4 linked regions of the Nothobranchius furzeri genome follow. The protein of the gene in region 2 interacts with the protein of the main gene of each other region in a biochemical or structural test. Links are inferred from orthologs where the notes say so. Each region holds a gene or a part of one and is shown on either strand. Other genes may lie near its edges.

Region 1 (5,953 bases), on a different chromosome or scaffold from region 2:
ACTTCACTTCGAATCCGGAGATCGGAACTAGGAAAACAACATTTTCAGCATATCTGAGACAAAAAGCTGGAATTCATTCAAAAATGCTTTAGTGAGTCTGGAAATAACTAAAGATGTAAACAACTTTATTTATATTTAACTCCTCCACAGGTTTATCGTCTGATTCCACAGTTTTCTACCTAAATGGGAAAAACTGAACTAATTCCTGAAGTTCTTTTTGTTGTAATAAAAATAAACTGCAGCAAATCCCGAAACTTAATCTGAACTGGAGTTAAAGAGCCGGGTTAGTTTGTGGCCCCAGATGAACTGGAATTATGGGAGCTGAGCTAAGTTCCTGTTCTTACTGGACATGTGGTGCGGCCCTCGTCTACACGTTCATGTCTCACGGAGACACCGTGTGCACAGAAGCAACACGGAGCTGAAACTAAACCAGAGTTTTGCTGAAGAGGATTTAAATGTTTCATAAATCGGAAACGTTAAACAAGCGCAGAAGTTCAGCCCTTGTGGGAGAACTTTATGAAAAAGCATCAAAAACAAAGTTCTGCATTTTAACTCCACAGCGGAGATCTGCCGTCCCAGACTGGGTCCAGTAACGATGAGACGCTCGGTTCCTGTCAGACCACATGCCACCTACCCATCAAGGTTGCTAGGAGACAGAGGGAGGACATCTCCAGGTCTATGCTCTCCTGGAGTTCCCGGCTGCTCATCCTGCTGGACATCATGGCGTCGTCGCTCTTGGCCGAGTGGAGGGACGAGTGTGAGCTGGAGGCTCTGGTGATGGAGGCCGCGGGGCTCGTGTCCTCAGAGCCCCTCAGGATCTCCACTGTCACCCTGTCCCCATGCTGCAGCACAACCGGCTCGTTCTCCTCGCCGTCCTTCGGAGGACCCAGCTCTTTGGGCGGGAAGCCATAACGAATGCACTGCTGGGCCGGAAGAACGCCAAACTGGTTGGAGATGCTGCTCTGCAGGTCTGAGAAGGTGGTGTGAGCAGGCAGAGTCAGCATGGCCTGCCTGCCATCGCTGGTGGTCACACGGATCTTCTTCTCCTTGTTAGAAGAGGGGGAGGAGGACTTGGTAGGGGTGGCTGGAGCTGAGAAGGAGGATGTTTCTGGAGACCCCCCAGGGGAAGAGTCCCGGATCTGACCCTTTTGCTCCTGCTTGAGTTTCTCTGTGCGTCTTTTCTGGGAGACCAGGGCCTGCTCGCTGATGCTCTGCTGGATGCTGCGCTCCGCCCGGCTCATCGTCAGCTCCTCCTTGTGCAGCGTCTTTGCTTTCTGACCGGTCAGGATGATCTTGGTGGGGGGCTGCGGGTCTGCGGTGGGCTGGGTCTCCAACGGGTCGTTGAGCCGCTGGGCATGAGCCCCGTCGATAGAAACCGGGTTGTACTCGTCTGGGTTCTTCTTGGCGGTGTGATGCAGGATGGTGTTGACCACTTTCTGAACCAGGATCTCACTACCGAACTCTCCGGGGAAGTGCTTGGTGACCAGCTTCATAGCTACGTCGTACACGTTGCTGTTCAGCGTCGGGTCGGTCTCGTACTGGAACCAGTACACCGTCTCACGCACCACCCGCCCCCCCCACTCTAGTGTGATGGGGAAGGCTTCGGGGAGGTTGTCGTACTCCTTCCCCTCCCAGTAGTGCTTGAATCCACAGCCACACTTCCCCCCCTGGGACCGGGTGTTAGTTCTGTCCCCATCCAGGTAAACCACTGACCCATTCCCACGGATGTGGCGCACGGATGTCCCGTGACACCAGTTGCAAGTGTTGAGGGCGCTCAGTTTGTAGTCCGGGACGAGGATGTCTCTCTGGGTGTCATAGGAGCAGACCACGTTGTTTAGGGGGAAGCTGTAGTTCTTGTCTGGTCGGAGTTGGCCGTGTGTGGACTTGGCTAAGTTGTAGAGCTTTCCACCTGGGACAAGCCACTCGGAGGGGACATGGAGCTCTGAGAGGGCGCCGCAGATCAGGCAGCGGTGCAGCCTGTTCTCCATCACGGACTTCTTGGCTGCTTCGGTCACCTCCTCCGGCTGGACGCCGATCACCCCCGTCCGTCTGTAGACGTACTGGTGCACGTCGGCCACCAGCGAGGGGTGGATGCCGTGCCTATCCATGAACACCTCCTCCATGGCGTTCACTAGCCTCATCAGGTATTTATCCTGCAAGCTGCGGTCGCCTGCGATCACACAGCTGCCGTCTGATTCCAATTTGATGTACTTCCTGATGAGCTCCTGGGGAACACCCCAGGCCTTCGGCAGCAGGCGGGCTGGCAGCTTGGGCAGCACCGTGTTCTTGATTCCCACCAGAGGGACGTAGTGGTTCCTGCCTGAGCTGCTCCAGGCGATGCAGATGGGCTTATTGAGCTTCCCGTCTTTTCCCTTGCACTGCTCCTCCGGCACCAGTCCGGGCAGGAAGGTGGCAGAATAGTCCCCGGAGCTTCTCATTCCGCTCAGGGAGTCCAGGAGGATTATGGGTCGGTGGAGGACATTAGCTAAACCAAAAATGTGGATGTTGCGTAGTCCAAGAGGCACGCCCTCAGGCGGGATGAAAAGAGGGTCACACTCATTGATGATGTCCTCCCACTCTGCAGCATCGATAAAGTCCTGAAACAGGGCTTTGTATCGGACCAGGTTCTGTTTGAAGTTCTGCTTAAGGTTCTCTCGCAAGGCGTGCCAGAAAAGTTCTCTTCCTACGAGCGCTCTGGACACAGCGTGGACCAGGCAGTGCCCGTCTCCATCCACATGGACTGGAATAAGACACTCTCTGTTTCCGTTGGCTTTCTTGATCTCCTCCAGAGTGTCGTGGAGGTAGATGAGGCTCCCAGACCTGTCCTGCCCATATCCCATGGTGGAAACATGGTCCGGCTCGATCAGGAAGGCTCTGTCCCCCAGCAGAGAGCAGTCAAAAATGTCCCCCTGGTTCATGTCCCTCAGCAGCTTGGCTTTTCCGGTTTGTTTGTCCATGCCGTAACGGGTGAGCACCGGGGACAGCAGCTTGCAGTGGTAGTTAGAGAGCCCCATCACCTTCACCAGCTCCGTCCCTTTCTTCGGGGCTCCGGTGACGCCGAGCAGGGCGTTTCTGAGGAGGTTGTGGAGCACCACATCTGGATCCGTTACCTCCTCGACATTCAGCAGGTTCCTCTGCTCGTGGCGCTGACCGCACTCGGTGCACTCGATGCTAATGGAGCCGTAAGCGGGGAAGAAGAGCCTCGCCTGACATTTCGGGTCTGGGCAGGTACCAGACAAAATACGCTTGTCTTTTTTCTTTGAGCTCTGCAGCAGCGACATTTCGGGCGAGAGAGGCTGAAAACGTATTTTAGCTTCACAATAGCATGATAATTACCCCTCAGGGACGCTGTCGGGTGAAGGGTGGCAGCGATTTCAGCTATTATCGTCCAGAATAACACAAGAACAACACGGAAGCGGCCGTTTTCCTTTAGCATCTGATTGTTGCTCAACGTACGTGCGCTTGCTGTTGGATGATGGGAAATGTAGTTTATTTTTGCATGTAATTGTCCCAGTTTTCCCACCGCTTACATAATAACTGAAAACTATTATTTTTATTATCTCTCTTGTAGTTTGGTCGTGGTAATTTTTATCCATGAAACAATTACTTTTGGTGTCTTATTTCATTTGGTAGATTTGTGAATCAGCTATCTACATTTCCCAGAATGCACCGCGCTGGACTAACGTTTTGTTGTGTAAGGAAGTCAGTTCCGAACTCCTCTGTATGTTTAGTCTAAATAAAAGGAATACATTTGATTTTTATTTCTGTTTCAATCCCGTAAATGAACTTAAGCACATTTACATCAGCCAGAGTTGATATGAGTGGCGGCAGGTGGAGCAGGGCCAGTCTGCTTTTGGTTTCTAACTTACATCACAAGTTTCCCAATTAGCTTAGCTGTTAGCTTCTTGTATGTAGCTCTCGCTGAACTCCATTCAGAATTACGGGAATTCTGTAATTAAACCTTTTTAATTTAAGTTAAGTATCACAACATAGTAGAATAGACCTTTCATTGACCTTTAAGATAAAAATGTATTATTCGTATTGTATTTGACTAATGATGAAATCCAGTTTATTAGAGCGAATGAATGAATGAAGTTTCCAGGGTTTGAAGATTAATTATCTCTGTTCAAAAGGATCTTGTATTACACAAAACTGACCACCAGGTGGCAGACTAAAACCTTGTTTCAGAAAAGAAATTCTTTAACCCTGTTACAGGAAACATTTATAATAGAAAAGCATCATGAGAGATTGCGTGTGTGTTTTATATAAATAAATTGAGGTAGGCTAATTATTAAAAGTTGTGATATTCATTCAGAAAAAGACGAAAAGAAACTCCAAATATTCAGTTTAAAATTAAAACAAAACAAATGCTAAATTAAAACATGTATAACTGTTGCAGAACTTTGCGAGCATTTTTTTTTTCATTCTTTTCTTATTTTCTAAAATTATTTTTCGTGTTATATTTTTATTTTTTTATCTAACCCTGTCAGAAATATGCAGAATCGTTGTTGACCAGAGCTTTTATTGCGGGAACCTTTTGAAATATCAGAAGTTAAAATATAAAGAGAAAACTCACTTTCAGGTTTGTGGTTTTTTTTTTTTTACTTGAAGTTTTTTCCACACAGTCATGATTTATGGGTCATTGGAAAAGAAGAGTTAGAGTTTGGAGTAATTTAAAACAATAACAGGAAATAACAAGAATGAGCTACGTCACACAAAAGCTAATCAGGAATAGCTGCTGTTCGCTTATCAGTCGACAGATGCTCCTGTTTGCACCAGCAGCAGCAGGGGCTGATGGGAGCTGAGGAGCTGGTAAAACCACGTGGCCCTGGTCTGATCTTGTTTGGCCTCAGCTGCATCAGAGCACCACTTCTCCCCAGGTTCACCAGAGGAAACACCACTGAACACAATGCTTTTCTTCCCAACTGCTGCTCTGTGCTGTATATGTTCAGGTGAGTGTTTCCAGCCAATCAGGAGCCAGCACACCCCAACTGGAACAAACCTTCACCTGTCTGTCTGTGTCCCTACGGTGCTGGTTACCATGGCAACAGAGGTGCTAACTCAGGACCAGTAATCTTATACTGCCAGAGATGATCATATAGTTTCTCTAAAGTGTTCAGGAACAGAAGCGTGTGACAACAAGCAAGTTCACTGGTACCAGCACACGGAGCAGCATCCTCTTCGGGTCATCCTATGCATCGATCTCATTAACAAAACCATGAACAGATGCTACAACCATCCCCAGAAGGATCATTTTATGGCAAATACAGAAGACTACGGCTGTAATGCGATCACCATAAAAGTCCAACAGGAACATGCAGCCTCCTACTACTGCAGCTGTCAGAAATCTGGTCTCCACAGAGAGAGATGATCTCTGCAGGCTGAACAAAAACCTCCAGATGAACAGAAGTCAGACAGGAAGAGAGCAGCAGACCTCAGCAGCTGACCATGTTTAACCTCCATCACACACATGTAGCAATTTCATCAAAATGACCAGACGTTAACTTTTAACTTACAGGCCAAACTCCTTCATACAGGACAGTCTGACACCGCAACCCCGATATGAAGAAATGAACTTGAGCCAATATTCTTAACTTATCCCGCGTACGTCACAAGTCCTCAAGGCTGCAAGAGACGCAGGACCTCTCATCTACCCTCTTACAACAACACTCATCTTCCTTGACTCATAAATGACTTTAAAACTTTATGTATTCATATTTTGTAGAATGAACCATTTGTTTAAATCAAAAGTGTTTTAATAATGTGTCCTATACTTTACATTCACGAATGATGGGTTGGCATGAACATTTTCTTTAATGATTCATTTCAGATATCAAATTAGACAGCATCAGTAATTGATGATTTTAAGAATAAAATCTATCCGTATATTAACACCTCATTATATTATCATTAATGGTGAAAACATCAGTGCTCCACATAACTGTTATAATAT
Region 2 (5,852 bases):
GGAGCTGAAGACGACTATCAGAGCAACCTGGGCTCTCATAACACCTGAGCAGTGCCACAGACTGATCGAGTCCATGCCACGCCGCATTACTGCAGTTATTGAGGCAAAAGGAGCCCCGAATAAGTATTGAGTGCTATACATGCACATTCTTTTCAGTTGGCCAACATTAGAGAAACAAACATTTTTTCATTGGCCTTTAGAATATTCTAATTTTCTGAGATACCAGATTTGATGTTTTCATTGGTTGTCACCTATAAATATCAAAATTAAACGTAATAAACATCGGACATACATTGGTCTGTGTGCATTGCATGAATATAATGTACAAGTTTCACGTTTTGAATGGAATTACTGAAATATTTTCAACCTTTTGATGATATTCTAATTTACTGGCCAGCACCTGTAGAGTGTAACAGTGTTGCCGCCATATTGGATGGGTCTCCTTACTCCCAAAGTCAACGCAGAGTGGGTATTGGTTACTATCCTGTTTTGGTGCAACCTACAGTTGCAACAACCAGCATAGTATTAAACACAGATCATGTGGGATTACTTTCGACTTTTCCAGTCCACCTGTTGGGGTTTTATAATTTGTTTAATTATATTTTCATTATCATGCCACACACGTCTGATTTTATGAAAAATCTTGAGTGGTACAGGTTCCACATCAGTAGGTTTTGCTCACACACACCTCTCAGGAATCCTTTAGGGCAGCAGCAGCTCAGGAAGTAGAGCGGATTGTCCAGTAATCAGAAAGTTATATAATCGATCCCGGCTCCTGGCACAAACTCTACCCCATCTTGCCTGCTTGTGCTCGTCCTTGGCAGCTGCAGCTCATCCCAATCAGCGTGTGAATGGATGAATGATACACTGTAGAGCAGTTTCCCAACCCTGGTCTTCAGGGCACCGTGCATGTTGCCCTTTCAAACACGTTATCCTGCTGCACACACCCGACTTGAATGAATGATTAACAGGCATCTGCAGCACTTGATGTTCTCCTGAGGAGCCGATGTAAATCAGGTGTGCTGAAGCAGAGACATGGAATACATGCAGGTCAGTGTGCCCTAAAGACCAGGGCTGGTAAACACTGGTGTGGTGTTTAACGCTTTAAGGTCCTCGGACTCTGGATGGCGCTATACAAGTCATTTATCTTTTGAAGTTCAAGACTCGTGGACTTTTCTCCCTAGCTGTTAGAAATCTTCTTTGATTTTCTGTTGTGATCAGACCAAAATGATTCAGCTCAGACACCGTTTTTAGTTTGGAGCAGATTAAAGGTCTTTAAACTTTTAACTTGGAAGGATTTCTTTCATCAACCAATGAAATTGGTAAGGTGAAAGACTAGGGTTGTACCTGACTGCATTTTGGGCCCTCCTAATGAAACTTCACACAGGAACCATCGCAAACATGAACTTGGACAGGAATATTTTATTACATTTGTCAATAAACTTCAGGAAACAATATACAAAGCAATGATGTGGTAAGCTTGCCTGAATGTGTGGTGCCGTTTAGGTCAAGAGTAGTTATGGGGCAGGAGCTGAACGGTCCCTGCTGGTGAGGGGCATTACTGGGGGGTCAGGTGTATGTGAGGCTCATCAGTTGGAATTAAAGAAGACCCAGAACCTGCAGGTGAGGCTTTAGTCTTCCAACAAGGCACTAGCATAAGGACCAATAAAATAACCAGTGCTCGCTCCAGTTTAATATGTTTATTACAATACATACATTTCACATTTGAGCTATGACCTCCTGTCGCCCCACGCGGACTAAGAAGTGCTCCACATACCACTCCTTAGCCGGGCGCTGGTAAATGTGAGGATATCATTGTGAATTACTGTGCATCACTACAACTCTTATAAATAAAACCCTTTTATTCTTTGTTTTAGAACTCAACTGTTATGTTAGCAACTGTACAAAGGAATGATCCACCTTAGATTGAGAAGTCAGGAAGAAGCAGAGGGAACACAAACTGAGAGAAGAGAGGCGGGACGCATCGGGAGATGCGTGGCAGGCAGGGCAGAGCCAGGAGAGGTGAGTGGGAATGGTCCAAAGCAGCACGCCATCACATTCCTGTTTTTATCATGCCTCACTCCACCAACCACCAGGCAGACCGCTCTCCTGACCGGGTGATGCAGGGCCACCAGAAGCTGCGAGCAGATCCCTGAACCACTGTGGACCGTCTGGTGTTTGCCACGTCCGAACGAACATCTACCAGCACTGAGGTCGGCGTGTGTGTTCTGCATACATCAGGACCTTCCTCTGTGTACAGGCATGTCACTCACTGACCCACAGGTTCAACCATCCAGGAGCTAACAAATGAGTTAACATGAAGGACGGGCTAGCTCACGGCTAGCTGCCTAGTAGCTGATTAGTCTGGACGTCAAAAGCTTTGATAGGCATGGCTTTCCATGGCTCCCATCTACAAAATATATTTACAACATTGATAACATCTACAAGAAATCTACAATTGTCTCACTGTGAGGTAATTACAAAACTAAGTCTTGTAAATTGCCCCTCCCCCGCTTCCTCCCACAACAATACCTGTTCTGGTCTGCTGGCTCAAAGATTCAAGCCATCCCAACTTAAACTCCTAGATGTGTGTGTGTGTGTTGAGAATGGGTTCCAGAAGAACGGAACTGCTCTCTCCATCTTCCAACCTATGTGCAACGGGCCTCCCTTCCAAAAACCCCTCCAACTGGACACTTCGGTTCTCAGACCATGAAGGAATTCTGATTCTTCAATTTTTCAAGATCTTTGATTTGCTGTCTTAGAAACAATATCCTGTGGGACAGAGACAGACCCAGAGTTAGATCCAGAACGTTGCCACAGTCAGAACGGAGGTCAGAAGAACACCGCTCACCTCTGCTCACGCAGCGTAGCTTGGATTTCACAGACTCTGACCAAAGAGCGCAGGTTTTTGAGCTCAGTGCAGTTCTCAGACATGCAGATGCTGCCCATAGTGTGAGCCTCCTCCCGTAGTCTGGAGGCCTTTGAGATTTGACACAAACAAGTTTTACCTGTGTTCCAGTTCCTGAGAAAAACAACAGCTGCTACGCTGCAGGTGGTTCTGACCTGTTTCTCTGCGTGCTCTGCAGGCCACCCCTGAACATGTTTGATAAGGTTCTCACTGAAGTGGACAGCAAGAGTGGGGGTTAAGGAGCAGGAGGGTTGAGCTACTGAGGTGGTCGAGGGGGCAGAGACGGAGTTTGAGGTGCTGCTGCTGCTGCTGATGGAGACGACATGGTTGGGACCTGGGGAGGGACTCCTCTGACAGCTGCATTTGACACACAAGACAATAGTTAGGAGACAGCACGAGCCCCGACGCTCCACGTGCAAAAAAACACGTGTTCTATCAGTGGGTATGAATCAGCAAACTAGTATCAGATAGCAGAACCCACAAGAACTGTGTGTGTGTGTGTGTGTGTGTCACAAGACCATGAGGACACACACGGCAGAGTCTCCAAAAACAACACAGCTCAAGCCCACCTTTGTTTACCTTATAATGGAGGACACAGCGGATTAAACTCCGCCCACAGGCTCAGGGATTTCCGCATTCCTGAGAAGTCCCTCAGATTTATGTGACACTACACCGCCCGTTCCAGACCGACCGCACGCCATCCAGCCCCACCAAACCCCGACCATACCGACTCTAATGTGTAGGCGCCATTGGAGGTCCGACTGGGACCGAAGCGATGATACGGACTGACTGGCCAGCTGAAGTTCACCAACCGAATCAGCCAGCGGAGGTTCCTGTATGCGTGATTCGTTTAAACATCAGTAAACCTCTGTAGCTCCCGCTCAGTGGGAAAGGACAACAGAGTTGTGTGTGTGTGTGTCCTCTGAGCAGCAAACATCTCTGCACTGGAGCTGTCACCACAGCTGGGAGGAGAGCTGCGAGCATGTGTGTGTGTGTGTGTGTGTGTGTGTGTGTGTGTGAGTAAGTGGAGTTTGAGGACACGCATGGCAGTGAGAGAACAGGGAGGACATTAATAAAATGAGATGGTTCAGAGTCTCCAAAAGCTCAGCCAGCTTTTGTCTACTAGGCTGGAACAAACGATTATGTGGATCATCGATGAATCGGATGGGGTCTCGACTCGATTAATCGGATTAAACGGGAAAATTTTAATCAAATTAAACTTTATTTATAAAGCGCTTTTCATACAAAAAATGTAACTCAAAGCCCCAGGTCCAGGTCGGTTCGCCGGACTTTTTGACAATTAAAACAATATTCTCAGTATCATGTCATTTGACACGGACCGCAGGCAAAATAATATGATCAGAACATTATGAATATTATTTTTAATATTCCACAAAACAGGAACAAATTAAATACAAACAACATTTTATCATTTTAAAGTTTTGCTCCTGCTCTAGAAGCTCTTTGAAGATTATTTTTAAATCCCACTCCTGCATTTTTTAATAATCAATTAATCTAGCATTTAGTAAGGCTGAATGTCTCCCAACACATCCAGAAACGTGCAGCTGTGTTCAGCTAAAACTCTCAGGATGATCATGTCCAGGATGACTGAGAACTACACCTCCATGCTGCAGCAGCATTCAGTCACAACAGGAAGTGAAACTTAAATGTAGCTGCTGTCAGTAACAATCTAACAGATTTTAAACATTAAAACTCAACAGAAACAGTTCAGAAAGGAAATAAAATATGTTATTTATTATTATTATTATTATAATTATTTATTGTGGCAGAAACTGGTGTGGTCCACCACTGCTCTGGCATGATGACTTTAATTATTCTACAGGTTATTGTTCAGCCTTCTGACGCTCACACACACACACACACACACACACACACACACACACACACACACACACACACACACACACACACACACACACACACACACACACACACACACACACACACACACACACACGTGTTGGTGAGCGGCTGCGCCTGACTGCTGACGCTCCGTGTGTTTTTATTTCTGCAGTGAGACAAACTCACCTCACACCGTCCAGAATTTGTTCTTTAAAGCTTCTATTAAATCCACCGTGTTGACGTATTTAACACGTTTCCTCTACGCCGCAGGAGCTAGTTTACATCACGGCGTAAAAGTCTGGCAGACGTGGTTATTAATAACCATGTAATTAGTAATCTAACAGTAATAATCATGTAATCTAATAATCTAGCATTTAGTAAAAATCATGTAATCTAATAATCTAGCATTTAGTAATAACCATTTAATCTAGTAATCTAGCAATCAAGCTTTTAGTAATAACCATGTAATCAAGTAATCTAGCATTTAGCAATAACCATGTAATTCAGTAACCTAGCATTTAGTAATCATGTAATCTAGCATTTAGTAAAAATCATGTAATCTAATAATCTAGCATTTAGTAATAACCATTTAATCTAGTAATCTAGCTTTTAGTAATAACCATGTAATCAAGTAATCTAACAGTAATAATCATGTAATCTAATAATCTAGCATTTAGTAAAAATCATGTAATCTAATAATCTAGCATTTAGTAATAACCATTTAATCTAGTAATCTAGCAATCTAGCTTTTAGTAATAACCATGTAATCAAGTAATCTAGCATTTAGAAATAATCATGTAATCAAGTAATTTAGCAATAACCATGTAATCCAGTAACCTAGCATTTAGTAATCATGTAATCTAGCATTTTGTAATAACCATGTAATCTAGTAATCTAAAATAATCTCCTGACTCACCACTCATTACTGAAATATTTGATTCCAACCTTCCCTCCATCTGCAGACCAAATAATTGATAATAAAGTATTATTAATTATTTTTAACAAATAGGTTTTAGACATTGTATTTATGCTAGTAAACCAAAAACCTGGTGATATCTTTATTTTCAATTGTGGCTAGTAA
Region 3 (5,800 bases), on a different chromosome or scaffold from region 2:
CTGTCCGTAGACCATTTCTTTTTTCTACACATCTTTTATTCGTATCAGCTGGCTTATCCGAATTGTTGCAGCGAACAGAGCAGGATCAGTTTTTTAAGGTGGTGCAGCACTACCTTTGTCACCTCGTTAAATGCCCAGTTTGCACACATTGCATGTGTCTATTACACTCCCCTTGCTGTTCGTTTAAAAATCCAGCCAAATCACAGACATTTTCTCTCTCTTGAGGCGACAACTATGCTCTGTGCTACATGTTATGGTGTGTGAATTCCCAAGCTACTTCAAATTGTAGGGCTTTACAGCGCTGTTGTCTCTGAAAAAAAAACACTGATATAGATGAACTTTTTGAATTTAAAACAAAGCCATTGTTATTCAGTTTGAAAATCTCTTTCTTAGGATTCGTTTGAAAAGTCACGTTTGTCGTTTTATATGGTTAAATCCGATTTTCCACAGCCGATTCCGATTTGGCCACTTTATTATGCCCACATGTTCAGTATCTAATCAGCCAATCACATTGAAGCAGTCGTCTAGATGTGGTGACGGCAAGTTGAAGTTCAAACAGAGGATCAGGACAGAGGAAGAGGATTTGTAGTTTGTGCCATCAGATTCTGATGCTCTACTGTGATTTTCGTGCACAATAACAGAAAATGGTCCCAGAAAAAGAAAGTATCTAGTGAGTGGTAGATGAATTGATGAACAGGCAGACTGGTTCCAGGCAACAGTGGCTCAAATAACCACTGATTACAGCCCAGATTGGTATGGTTGTAACCAGTAAGGGTGGTTCAGAAGGACAAAGGAGGGTCAACCCAGCACTAGAAGCACTTTGTGATTCTATGTCTGTGATAAGTGCTGTATGAATAAAAATTGCTTACTTCTTATTTACTAGAAAGGCACCAAATAGAGCTGCCAGTGAGTGTGTGTATTTAAATGATTTGTGCTTCAGATTTCAAAACGCGTTTTAACGTTTATTGGAAACTGATGGAGAGTGTGTCGATTTTAGAGCTCACCTGGTCTCCTTTTCACTCAAGGTAACTTTTTCAGTGAGGTAGTCAAACAGCTCTCCTCGCCTCATGCTGGGGACAAAAACAGACCCGTTGGTGCTTCATTGTTTCGTGTTTTCCTTAAGTAAACATTATTGTATTTTGGCTCCTTTTCTCCATACTCACAGGTCAAACACTAGGAATATGAATGTGGTGGACTCGTAGGAATCAATGAGGGTGACTACATGGAATCAGACAAACACAAACCAGCATTAGGTCTTGGTATACAGAAAAAGACAAATATTCCTGGAGCGCAGAATGGCAACATACTGATGGAGGGGTGTCCCTTCACCATGTTGAGGACTTGGATCTCCTTCAGGGTGGAGGTCTTCACCTCCTGCAGCTGCTGGGCTGTCATCTTCTCCGCTGTGATCTCAATAATCTTCACTGCCAGCTCTTGACCTGTGTGTCTGTGCACGCACCTGCGTACCACACTGCTCACACCCCTACAGCACCACACCAGTTCAAAAGAACATCATGTTCTTATCACCAACCAGGCATGGAGGATGGAGTGTCATGCTGCCTGACTGGACTTACCTGCCGATCACCTCCTTGGGGTCATACTTCTGGTAGAATTCCTTAGCTCCCACCCAGTCCGGTAATTCATCTCCGACAACGATGTCCTTGGTCATGATGAAGCTATAGCAACAAACTCCGTCACATGTCAAAGTACAGCTTGTTTACCATGAACTACTTGAGCTAACTCCTGATAAGGGGTTCCCATTTCGTTTGGTTTGATTCCAAACACAGACTATACCTGTGACTTTTTGACAACACCTCAGAGTTTAAACACACAAGAAATTAGCTTTTATCCTTTATATCAGTAAGGTGAACTCGTCTTTGGTCTGGCCTTGTGTAGCAGAGGGCTCACTGACTGGCCGAACAGGAAGCTACTCACCTAACAGCGAGAAGGGGAAGGAGACGGATCCCGAGTTAGTGTAGCGAAGCCATTAAATAACTCGAGCTGTTTATCGTGAAGTCACGCCGGATATCTGCTAGCATAAACCGGAGCGTTATTTACAGTTTGGTAAAATTCCTTTGAAGTCGTTTGAAACCGGTTCATATCTGAAGTAGCAATACTGCCCCTGTGTGGTGGCAGAGGAGATTGCGGGATCAAGATATTTCTTAGTTTTTAGACATTGACGCAATGAATCACTCAACCGTGAGATATTTTTGAAACCATGCGTAGCAATAATTTTAATGTAATTTTTAAATGTTATTCTTTTTTTTTAAATCGGTGAATTTGTTCAAAACCTCACAAAGTTACATTTCAACACTAGGTGGCAAAAGAAGCTCTGCAAATTAAGCGTAGAAGAAGAAGCGTTGTCGTCATTTCCTGTTGCATTATGTTCTGAATTATATTTTCGGTCGTTCCTTGCGAAGGTGCGTAACGTTCAACTTTTGTCATTTGTTGCATTTCTGTAAATGATTTTACGTAGAAATGATTCTTCATTTAATGATAGTTAGTAAATAAAACAATACTCCACCGTTATTTGCTGTGTTGGACAAAGATCGCTGTCCTGCTAACCGAGAGTTAGCATTAGCAAAATAGTTAATTTTAACAAGAAAATGTAATGTGCTGTATTTCTTTTAAAAGATGGCTAATAATTACAAGGAGGCATTATACACTCCTGACTTCTACTAATACGTAGCTGTAAATGTTGTACCTGCCCTGCGAAAGTAACGTTCACACGGGTTCTAACTGTATTTATAATTTGTTTAATTCCGTAATCTCTTCATGCTGCCTCCAAAAATTAACGTTGTTTGAACTTTTTATGAAGGCTAAGGAAAGATGTCAGGTGCTGGGGGAGGAAAACGTCCTTCTGGAGGGGATAGTCCCCCTGGTCCACCTGAGAAGAAGACCAAGAAGGAGGAGAAGACCACCACCACACTGATCGAACCAATACGAATCGCTGGAGTCTCTTCAACGGTGAGTCCCTGCAGATTTACTAGTTAAAATATTTTGAAGTGTGTTTATTACTGTGGTGTACTTTAACACGTAAAGTGTCTTATATTTTGGGTGTTTTTGTTGATGAACTACAGGAAGAAATGGACATGAAGGTGCTCCAGTTCAAGAACAAGAAGCTATGTGAGCGCCTGGAGCAGAGACAGGCCATGGAAGATGAGTTACGAGAGAAAATCGAAAAGCTGGAGAAGAGACAAGCCACTGATGACACCACCCTCCTCATCGTCAATCGCTACTGGACTCAGGTACATTAATCGTTGGATATGGCTGGGAAAAAAGCTTTAAATAATCCCTTACTTCTTTATGCTTTCTATCCAATCAGCCAGGTTTTCTTTTGTGTGCAGCTTTTCTAAAATTTTCTTTAGACTTTTACTGTTTTTTTCCACTCCTTATCTGTCCAGTCCTCATACCTGATCATGGCAGGATATTGTGCATTGTGAGTTTAGAAAATGATGAAGTATAAAGACATTAATCACTTTATTAATCTACTAGATTGCTCTGTTGCACTTTGTAGAAGAATCACATTATTTGTGTATTTTAAAGCTGTGGTTCCCAAAGTTGATGTTGGAGTTGAAAATAATAGTAATGCATGTTTAATATACTGTGTTTAAGCTGTGTTACATTATACACTTGTTTGAGACCTGTTATGTATTATTATATAATGTTAAGTGTTGTGAACTCTGGAACTGCGCTGCTCTGGGTGGCTGCATGTTGGAGTAGCTCTGTTGACTATTTGTAAGTTTTGCCTTTTCGTGGACATTTTTTCTTCTAGTTTCTCAAGAAAAACTGTATTTTTTGGACATTTTACTTTTCTGTTTCTGGTGCTGTGAAGCTTGGAGGATTTTTACTGCTATTTTTCACTTTTTTCACTTTTTGAACATTTGTTATGATGCGTAACCATGGCAACACACTGGTTTACAATCGGTAGCAGCTGATTAACATTGGAAAGGCTGAAATAATACCTCAACTGAAGCCACAAATCCCAAATGAGCTATAACGCAAGAAGTATGGATGCAGAGCGGGAGCAAAACGGAGACAGAGAAAGAGGAAATTCAAACCATCTCTTCCATTTATCATAATGGGCAATGTGAGATCACTGGCCAACAAAATGGATGAACTCCAAGCCCTTTGAAGGACTCAGCCAGAGTTTTGGCAGTGTAGTGTTATGTGTTTCAGTGAGACGTGGCTGCAGGACCATATCCCCGATTCCAGCGTCTCTCTGCCAGGATTCCTGACTGTACGGGCAGACAGAGATCTGAGCAGGAGCGGGAAAAGAAAAGGAGGTGGAGTGGCAGTGCTTGTCAACAACGGATGGTGCCATCCAGGTCATGTTTCGGTGAAATGTCGTCTCTGCAGCCCAGATGTTGAACTCTTGGCAGTAGATGTGGAGGTGGTTGAGGAATACAAATACCTTGGAGTTCACCTGGACAACAGACTGGACTGAAGAAAGAACAGTGAAGCCGTTTACAAGAAGGGACACAGCAGACTGTACTTCTTGAGGACGCTTAGGTCCTTCAATGTCTGTAGCAAGATGCTGCAGATCTTCTACTAGTCTGTTGTTGAGAGTGTAATCTCTTCATCCATCGTCTGTTGGGGTAGTAGCATCAGAAGCAGGGACCTGAAAAGGCTCAACAGCCTAATAAAAAAGGCTGGTTCTGTTCTGGGGACGACTGTGGAACCGCTGGAGGAGATAATGCAAAGAAGGATTCTCCAGAGAATCAAGAAAATTATGGACAACCCTGAGCATTCTCTTCACAAGACTGTCCGACAACGGAAGAGTGTCTTCAGTCAGAGGCTTCTTCAGTTTCGCTGCAACACTGACCGCTACTGGAGATCCTTCCTGCCAACAGCCATTGTAATATACAATAACTCTTTGATGACTTGATTATTATTATTATTCTGAGCTACTACAGCAATCAATTTCCCTCTGGCATTAATAAAGTATTTTAGAATTTAATTTAATTGAAATTGATGTGTGTTATGCTTCTAAAACAGTAACCATTCAAAATATTCAAACTTTGTTTGTTCTGTTTTTACTTACAGCTGGAAGAAAATGTAAATATTCTGCGCAAATATATTGAGCCAGAATCAACAGCAGCATCTGCTCCTGCGCCACCTTCAGCCCTCCCCGATGCTACACCCACGGATACCATCAGCCTGGCATCACCGTTGGTTACAGTGCCTCCACCTCCTCTGCCGGAGGCCCAGGGTGAGACTGAGCTCACAGAACCGCAGCAACAAGAGAATCAACTGGAAGACCATCAGGAGGTGCCACATCCTCCTGCTAGATCAGAGGAGTTACTAACTACTGTGGAACCGCCACAGGATTCAAAAACTGGTCAGCAGCTTTTTATTTTGTTTTCTAAAACGATTTTTTGTTGAAATTTGCTCCTGCATTGTGACATTCTTTGTGAATAAAATGTAAATGATAGTGTTCACGGCTTTGTTCGCACCTAATATCTTGTGAATCTGCATTCATCAAAAAAAGTGACATTTTTGTAATGAGCTGCACCAGGGCAGTGATTTAGGTCGTAATGTGGAGTTCTAGCTTGATTTGCTTTGTTCATAACAACTTAATATTATGTCCAGACACATCACCGCCTCCCCCTCCCTTAAGTGAGAATGCTAAGGGCTTTTTGACCATGCTGGAGCAGAGCAGCGAGGAGGAGCTTTCATTGCACCTCCAGGACCGCATGCTGTTCAGCAAAGAAGCCATCGCCCACTTGGTGCAAGTCTTTGACAGGCTGCACAGTCGCATCGACGACATGTGCAGGGCGGTCCAGGCTGCAGGTACCTA
Region 4 (5,934 bases), on a different chromosome or scaffold from region 2:
CAGATAAGTTCTCAGTGCACAACGAGTCAGTTCACCTGAAGCTGTTTGCAGAGGAAAGTGTTAAAACTGCTGCAGTGCAAGAATTTAGAGTTGGCCATGAGTTACAGTTAGATGCAACTGCACAAACCAAGACTATCAGCAGTATCATTAACTATTACATATTTAATATAAACCATTTATTAATGATTAATTTGTGTTTTTATCAATGTATTGTATTGTAGAAACATTTCAAAGTAAAAACTCACTCATGTTGATTGCAAATTTAGTTAGTAAACTGTTAATTCTAAGCAGTTCCTTGTTAATTAATTATCTAATAATTCTAATGTCAATAACCACATGGAAAACCGCGCACAAGGATGAAAAGTGCTGAAAGTGCATCCAATTTTCTGCAAAGAATCAAGATCAATTTCTGAGAATGAGCAAAGTCCTGCAGACTTACTTTAGAGGTGTTTGTCAAACAGCGGCAGCAGAATAATGACAGATAGACGCTGTTGCCTCCCAGACGAGATCAGACTGATGAAGAAGGCAGAAAGTGGGTGAAAGGCCGTTTTAATGGGGCGGCGGAGGTGGTGGGGGAGGGGCCGGTGATGTGGCGGGGGGAGGCGGGTGTTGATCTGGGAAGGCCATTGGCCCCAGCCACGAGAAGAGGGGCGGTGCGTATTTGTTGTTCATATCAGGATCTGATGATCAAACTAGAAATCATAGTGAAGGGAACGGTTCAGCTTTGAAAGCAGCTCTGTCTGCTTCTGCAGCGCTCAGGCTGCAGAAATGTTGCACTTCAGGTTTAGTTCTCCTAAAGAAAGACCGGGCATGTTCACAAGCAAATGCCACTTTCGATATGAGTTATTTATATGTCGATGTTTACAGCAGCTTCTGTTTTTATTATCACACAAACACGTGACCAAATTTTTCTTTTCCTCCGGTAGAAACCCTATATATATATATATATATATATATATATATATATATATATATATATATATATATATATATATATATATATATATATATTATATATGCAATTTCTGCATTATTTTCCAGAATTACAGTTTAAAACAAAGGAATAGTTTTACACTTTATATCATTATAGCTTTAAAAATGTGTTTTTGCACACAGACTAAAGGCAACAATAATTTGTTTATTTTTAACTAAATCACTTTTTTCTAATCTTGACACAGTTATTATTTTCATATGGTGAGTGTGTTGTTTATGCATTATTGTATTTTGTGTTTTTAATGTTGTTTAATGCTTATATTTTAAATGCATTTTCAAATCAACTTTAAAGTTTCTTAGATCAAACCTTCATATAAGCTCCTGAGCTTTTTGCCTCTCCTTGCATCCAATCTATTTTTTTTTCTTATTGTGTGTGAAACTAAACCCATCATGCATAAACATAGTTTAGTAAAACTGAGCTTTGTTGCACCCCACGTACTCAGCATATGACAGCAGATATTAGGTCTTGGACCCTACGGGTTGGGCTTGATTTGTATCTTGCAAATAACGACAAGACAGCATTTACACAACCCGGACTCTGCACCTTGTCCAATGTCATTTTTAATATTGCAGACCAGAGTTCAGTCTTTGTGCGTGCCTTTATTTTTGCACCACCTTTTGAAAGTGAGTCAAGCACACAATGGTTGTCCTCTGAAAAGGGCTGCTTGCTACAACAAGTCAGTGAGTTGGTTATTATAAAACTTGCGTGGGACAATTTTTGGTTTGGATATTTTAGTCAGTACAATGAGGCAAAATCCTACAAGCTGTACATCTATCTTCCCTGCAGCTGGCAGCAAACAAAAGAGGAGTAAGGTCCATAAGACAACATTCCTGAGATTATGGATGGAAATCTTCCAAGTTTATTACAACTATCCTTTGGCCTTAGTATTTATTTTTAATTCTAGAGAAGATAAAATATGTTGCGACTATAGCAGCGGAAGTATTTTAGACATTGTGGGAGAAAACAAATCTTCCAAGGTGATGTGGTTTGTATGTGGCGGCCTTATCATGCAGATGAGTCCTGGACTTTGGTTAAACTCTGAAATTACCAAATAACAAAGCTAGATAAATTAGATAATGAGTTAACAAATATTCTCTGAGTTGCTTTCAAAAATAAACAGTCTGCGTCATCTACTGTGCAATAGCTTGTTTGCCATTTGAGGGTCAGCCTTCAAATGGCTGATGATGAGGCAAACAAACAATTTAAAATATTCTATAGCAAGGTTATTTCAGAATTAAAAATTGTGTAGTTTAAATATCTTTTTTAGATGTGTGTATGTTGTCCTCAGCCAGGGTTAAATACACATTATAGCATTATAATGGGTGTTGATGCTTGAAATCTGTGTTTCAGATGCAAATAAATCATCTGATGATTCTTGACCATCTTTTCTGATCAGTTTATAAGCATTAAATCGTAAAATGCTGCAGAGTGTTTCACACTCCGATACAGCAGGTGGTGCTTTTGCGTCAGAGCGCGTGCTAAAGCGGGTCCTCTGGAAACCGTTGCCACTTCCGTTTCCGTTAGGCAAGAAGCCGCAACATCAACATTTACTGACACATTTAGTTAATAACTCTTACATTTAAAATTGGTAAGATTTCAGCTAGGCGTTGTCGACGCAGGTCCACAACGATGTGGTCGCATTAGTCTGTTGGTTCAGGATTAAAGCTGGTCAGATTTTCGGCTAGCTTTAGCAGATGGCCAACGTTAGCTTAATTACTGATTTCGCTACTTCAGTCTTTAAAATGTTAAAACTGGTCATATTTGTTCATTTATTTGAGAACGCTTACTATATTAGATCGTTGCAGTCGAAATACATACTTTAAATTAATCCCCTAAATCTGATCTACAATATACTATTTTATCTTTTTAGGAGGATGTCGGGGCAGAAACGTCCCGCTGACCCCTGCGGATCGTCGTTCTCCGGAGCCCCGCCTGAGAAGCGGAGGGAGCGCGAAGGAGAGGACGGAGGTCCCGGTGTCAGCGCCGCGGCCGGTGGTAGCACAGCGGTGGAAACGGTCATCAAACTGGGAGGAGTGTCCAACTCCGTGAGTCTCACTACTGCAGATTACTAATCTAACATGTATTGGTTTTATGGACACACGAGTAATGTTCTTCCAGGAAGAACAAGACATCAAGGCTCTCCAAGCAAAGAACCGCAAGTTAGGTGAAGCTCTAGATCAAAGACAGGTGAATTTCTAATCTTTATTTCAGATCAACACCCAAACACAGGATTCTCCAGCAGAACTGTGACATTTACTCTTGGTTTGTTTGAAGGTGATTGAGGATGAGCTGCGAGAGCGAATTGAGAGACTGGAGACCCGGCAGGCCACTGATGATGCCAGTCTGCTCATCCTTAACAGATACTGGAACCAGGTGAAGAAGTAGAAGAAAGTATCCTGGATTATTTGTCCTTAGAGTCCAAGTGTGACATTATGCTAATTTTTTTTCCAGTTTGATGACAATATTCGGCTCTCCGTCAGGCGCTATGATGGAGCAAACGGCGAACCAGAGAAATCACCCTCAGGTGAGGGTCGGAGCCTGAAGCCAGAAACCCCAGAACCTGATGGAGACTCCAACCAGGAGAGGGCCAAAGACCGAGGTAATGAGACCTGAAATCTGAACATCATAATGATATTTTTAAAAAAGCAGAACCTTAATAAAAATTGTATGTCGCTCAGGTCATCAAGGAGAGACCTCCAACTCCTTCCTGGCCACACTGGCGAGCAGCACCAGTGAGGAGATGGAGGCAGAGCTCCAGGAGAGAGTGGAGAAGAGCCAGAAGCAGGCCAGTCATGTTGTGGAGATCTACAAACATCTGAAGAGCAGCGTGGACCAGCTCAAGGCAGAGCTGGACTCTGGAGATGGTGAGGAAAAATAAATAACCTGTGAGATTTAGAAAGCTGTGATTATAAATAAATGTTGCCCTGGAGAAAAATGTCAACCAGTTTGTGCTTTTTACGGATTGATTTGCAGATGGGAGTTTGAAGCAGGTCACCTCCAAACTGAATTCCCTCCTGACACGTGAAAACGAGCTGCTGCAACAGCTGACTGAAGACCTGAAGCAGAAACACAGTCACATGACCAGCGAGGTAAATCATAGTTCCTTTCTTAGAAAGTTATCTCGAGCCAGAATCGGTCAAATAAACCCCAATCAGGACTTATGTAGTCTGTTATTACAATAGAATGTCAGTAAACTCTAAGGATCTCTTTTAACATGAATATCAAATTGTTTTTGCTTGTTCCTTTATTTAAAAACGAATATCTAGTCATTTATATTTTTTATACAAAGCAGTTGTTTAGAGAGCGTTAAGATCCTGTGAGCTCTGGTCCTCTCTGCAGTCGCGGTCTCTGGGTCGGGCAGCGAACAAAGCGGATCAGCGCGTCGGCGAGCTTCAGGTTCGGATCGAGGAGCTCCAGTGGGACATGGAGAAGATCCGTCGCCGAGAGAACAGACTGAACGCACACCTGAGCGAGGTCCTGGAGAGGGTGAGAGCGATGCTAATAACTGTCATGGCAGCACGATGTGCCTGTGGAAGTGACTGTAACACCACCCGTGTTCTCCAGGTGAACAGTAAAGGCTATAAGGTGTGTGGAGAGGCCAGCAGTGTGTGTGGAACCATCACTATTAACAAGAGAAAGGTACACTTTCTTTTGCTGTTATTTTTGTCATTAGGAATTATTTTAGGGGTGTTCTGTAGGTTTTATGGTTTTGTTTCAACTTTTATTTTGAAACTAGTTTGAGGACATGAACAGTGAGCTGGAGGAGAACACGGAGCTGGCAGAAAATCGCTCTGTTGAGCTGCAGAAGCTGCAGCAGGACCTGCAAAATGTCCAACAGGAGAACAACAACATGAAGGTACCAGTGTTACGTCAGCTCCACGATCCCAAATATTCAGCCATATTATCATAAACTCAGAGAGGCTACAGTATATGAGTGCAAATTAACATTTCTGCCCCAAAATATTCCTGGCTCAATTTACTCGTCCACAGAAAAAAATTGCAAAATTAGTCAATTTTTTCAATGGAGGGACAGAAAAATGACTTTTTTTTTCTTGTCTAACTTTCTCAACTTGCAGACGGAGCTGCTGAGTCGAGCTGAAGGTTTCGTTAAAGAGACCTCAGAGTATCGCTGCCTTCAGTCCCAGTTCTCTGTGCTTTACAACGAGTCCCTGATCCTCAAAGCTCAGTTAGATGAGACACGCGCTCGCCTCAACACCACCCGGACGGCACGGCTTCGGCAGCTGGACCACATGGAGGTGTGTGTGTGTGTGTGTGTGTGTGTGTGTGTGTGTGTGTGTGTGTGTGTGTGTGTGTGTGGTCGGTGTGGGATTGTGTGTTTTCGTCTCTTGCTTATTTTCATCTCGCCTGAGTGCAGAACGATGAGGTGGCTCTGCAGAGGAAAGTACGCACCGAGGTGTTTCAGCTGGAGGACACACTGGCTCAGGTGAAGAAGGAGTACGAGATGCTGCGCATCGAGTTTGAACAGACTCTCGCAGCCAATGAGCAAGCAGGTAACTGGCGTTTCTGATCAAATAAAGTCCTTCCTTGATCTATATTGTCTAACTCCCCCCCGCCCCCTCCTAGGTCCCATCAACAGAGAGATGCGTCACCTGATCAGCACGCTGCAAACACACAACCAGCAGCTGAAGGGGGAGGTGGTGAAGTACAAGCTGAGACTACGAGAGGCTCAATCTGAGCTCAACCAGGTACGTCACAGTGAACGAGGGAAGGGTCATCATCATAAATATATGCTACTGCTTGTATTTGGGCTGAAAAAGTGTAATCTTCTCGTCGTTTAACACGTTCATTAACTCCGATGACTACTCTATTGAGCGTTAACACTTCTTTATTTTGTCCTTTGGAAGTCTATCGCTCTCTTGCTCTAAACACAGCTTTAAAACCTGCGAACGTGCATTCTGCGTGTATCCATTAATCACGAT

Evidence for each region. The genes of interacting proteins can lie anywhere in the genome.
Region 1: the proteins of waca (region 2) and vcpip1 form a complex in vitro, tested with the Homo sapiens proteins (2 studies listed by BioGRID). The link is inferred for Nothobranchius furzeri from reciprocal best matches to the Homo sapiens genes WAC and VCPIP1.
Region 3: the proteins of waca (region 2) and rnf40 form a complex in vitro, tested with the Homo sapiens proteins (2 studies listed by BioGRID). The link is inferred for Nothobranchius furzeri from reciprocal best matches to the Homo sapiens genes WAC and RNF40.
Region 4: the proteins of waca (region 2) and rnf20 form a complex in vitro, tested with the Homo sapiens proteins (2 studies listed by BioGRID). The link is inferred for Nothobranchius furzeri from reciprocal best matches to the Homo sapiens genes WAC and RNF20.

What each region holds. Positions count from the first base shown.
Region 1 is NC_091751.1:35,191,592-35,197,544, reverse strand, and holds the start of vcpip1 (deubiquitinating protein VCPIP1), read right to left. Parts: upstream 3,470-5,953; 5' UTR 3,282-3,469; coding exon 635-3,281; intron 1-634. UniProt on the Homo sapiens protein: Deubiquitinating enzyme involved in DNA repair and reassembly of the Golgi apparatus and the endoplasmic reticulum following mitosis. Necessary for VCP-mediated reassembly of Golgi stacks after mitosis.
Region 2 is NC_091747.1:30,751,888-30,757,739, forward strand, and holds the end of waca (WW domain-containing adapter protein with coiled-coil), read right to left. Parts: intron 3,266-5,852; coding exon 3,064-3,265; intron 2,980-3,063; coding exon 2,852-2,979; intron 2,773-2,851; coding exon 2,703-2,772; 3' UTR 1,403-2,702; downstream 1-1,402.
Region 3 is NC_091756.1:31,912,250-31,918,049, reverse strand, and holds the start of rnf40 (E3 ubiquitin-protein ligase BRE1B), read left to right. Parts: upstream 1-2,331; 5' UTR 2,332-2,420; intron 2,421-2,818; 5' UTR 2,819-2,829; coding exon 2,830-2,967; intron 2,968-3,080; coding exon 3,081-3,248; intron 3,249-5,046; coding exon 5,047-5,341; intron 5,342-5,592; coding exon 5,593-5,793; intron 5,794-5,800. Other genes in the region: phkg2 (phosphorylase b kinase gamma catalytic chain, liver/testis isoform), read right to left, coding at 1,005-1,070, 1,164-1,218, 1,308-1,483, 1,575-1,669.
Region 4 is NC_091741.1:96,512,053-96,517,986, forward strand, and holds the start of rnf20 (E3 ubiquitin-protein ligase BRE1A), read left to right. Parts: upstream 1-2,465; 5' UTR 2,466-2,582; intron 2,583-2,864; 5' UTR 2,865-2,868; coding exon 2,869-3,039; intron 3,040-3,112; coding exon 3,113-3,181; intron 3,182-3,268; coding exon 3,269-3,367; intron 3,368-3,445; coding exon 3,446-3,593; intron 3,594-3,672; coding exon 3,673-3,858; intron 3,859-3,967; coding exon 3,968-4,083; intron 4,084-4,333; coding exon 4,334-4,480; intron 4,481-4,558; coding exon 4,559-4,633; intron 4,634-4,730; coding exon 4,731-4,850; intron 4,851-5,070; coding exon 5,071-5,250; intron 5,251-5,369; coding exon 5,370-5,505; intron 5,506-5,578; coding exon 5,579-5,700; intron 5,701-5,934. UniProt on the Homo sapiens protein: Component of the RNF20/40 E3 ubiquitin-protein ligase complex that mediates monoubiquitination of 'Lys-120' of histone H2B (H2BK120ub1).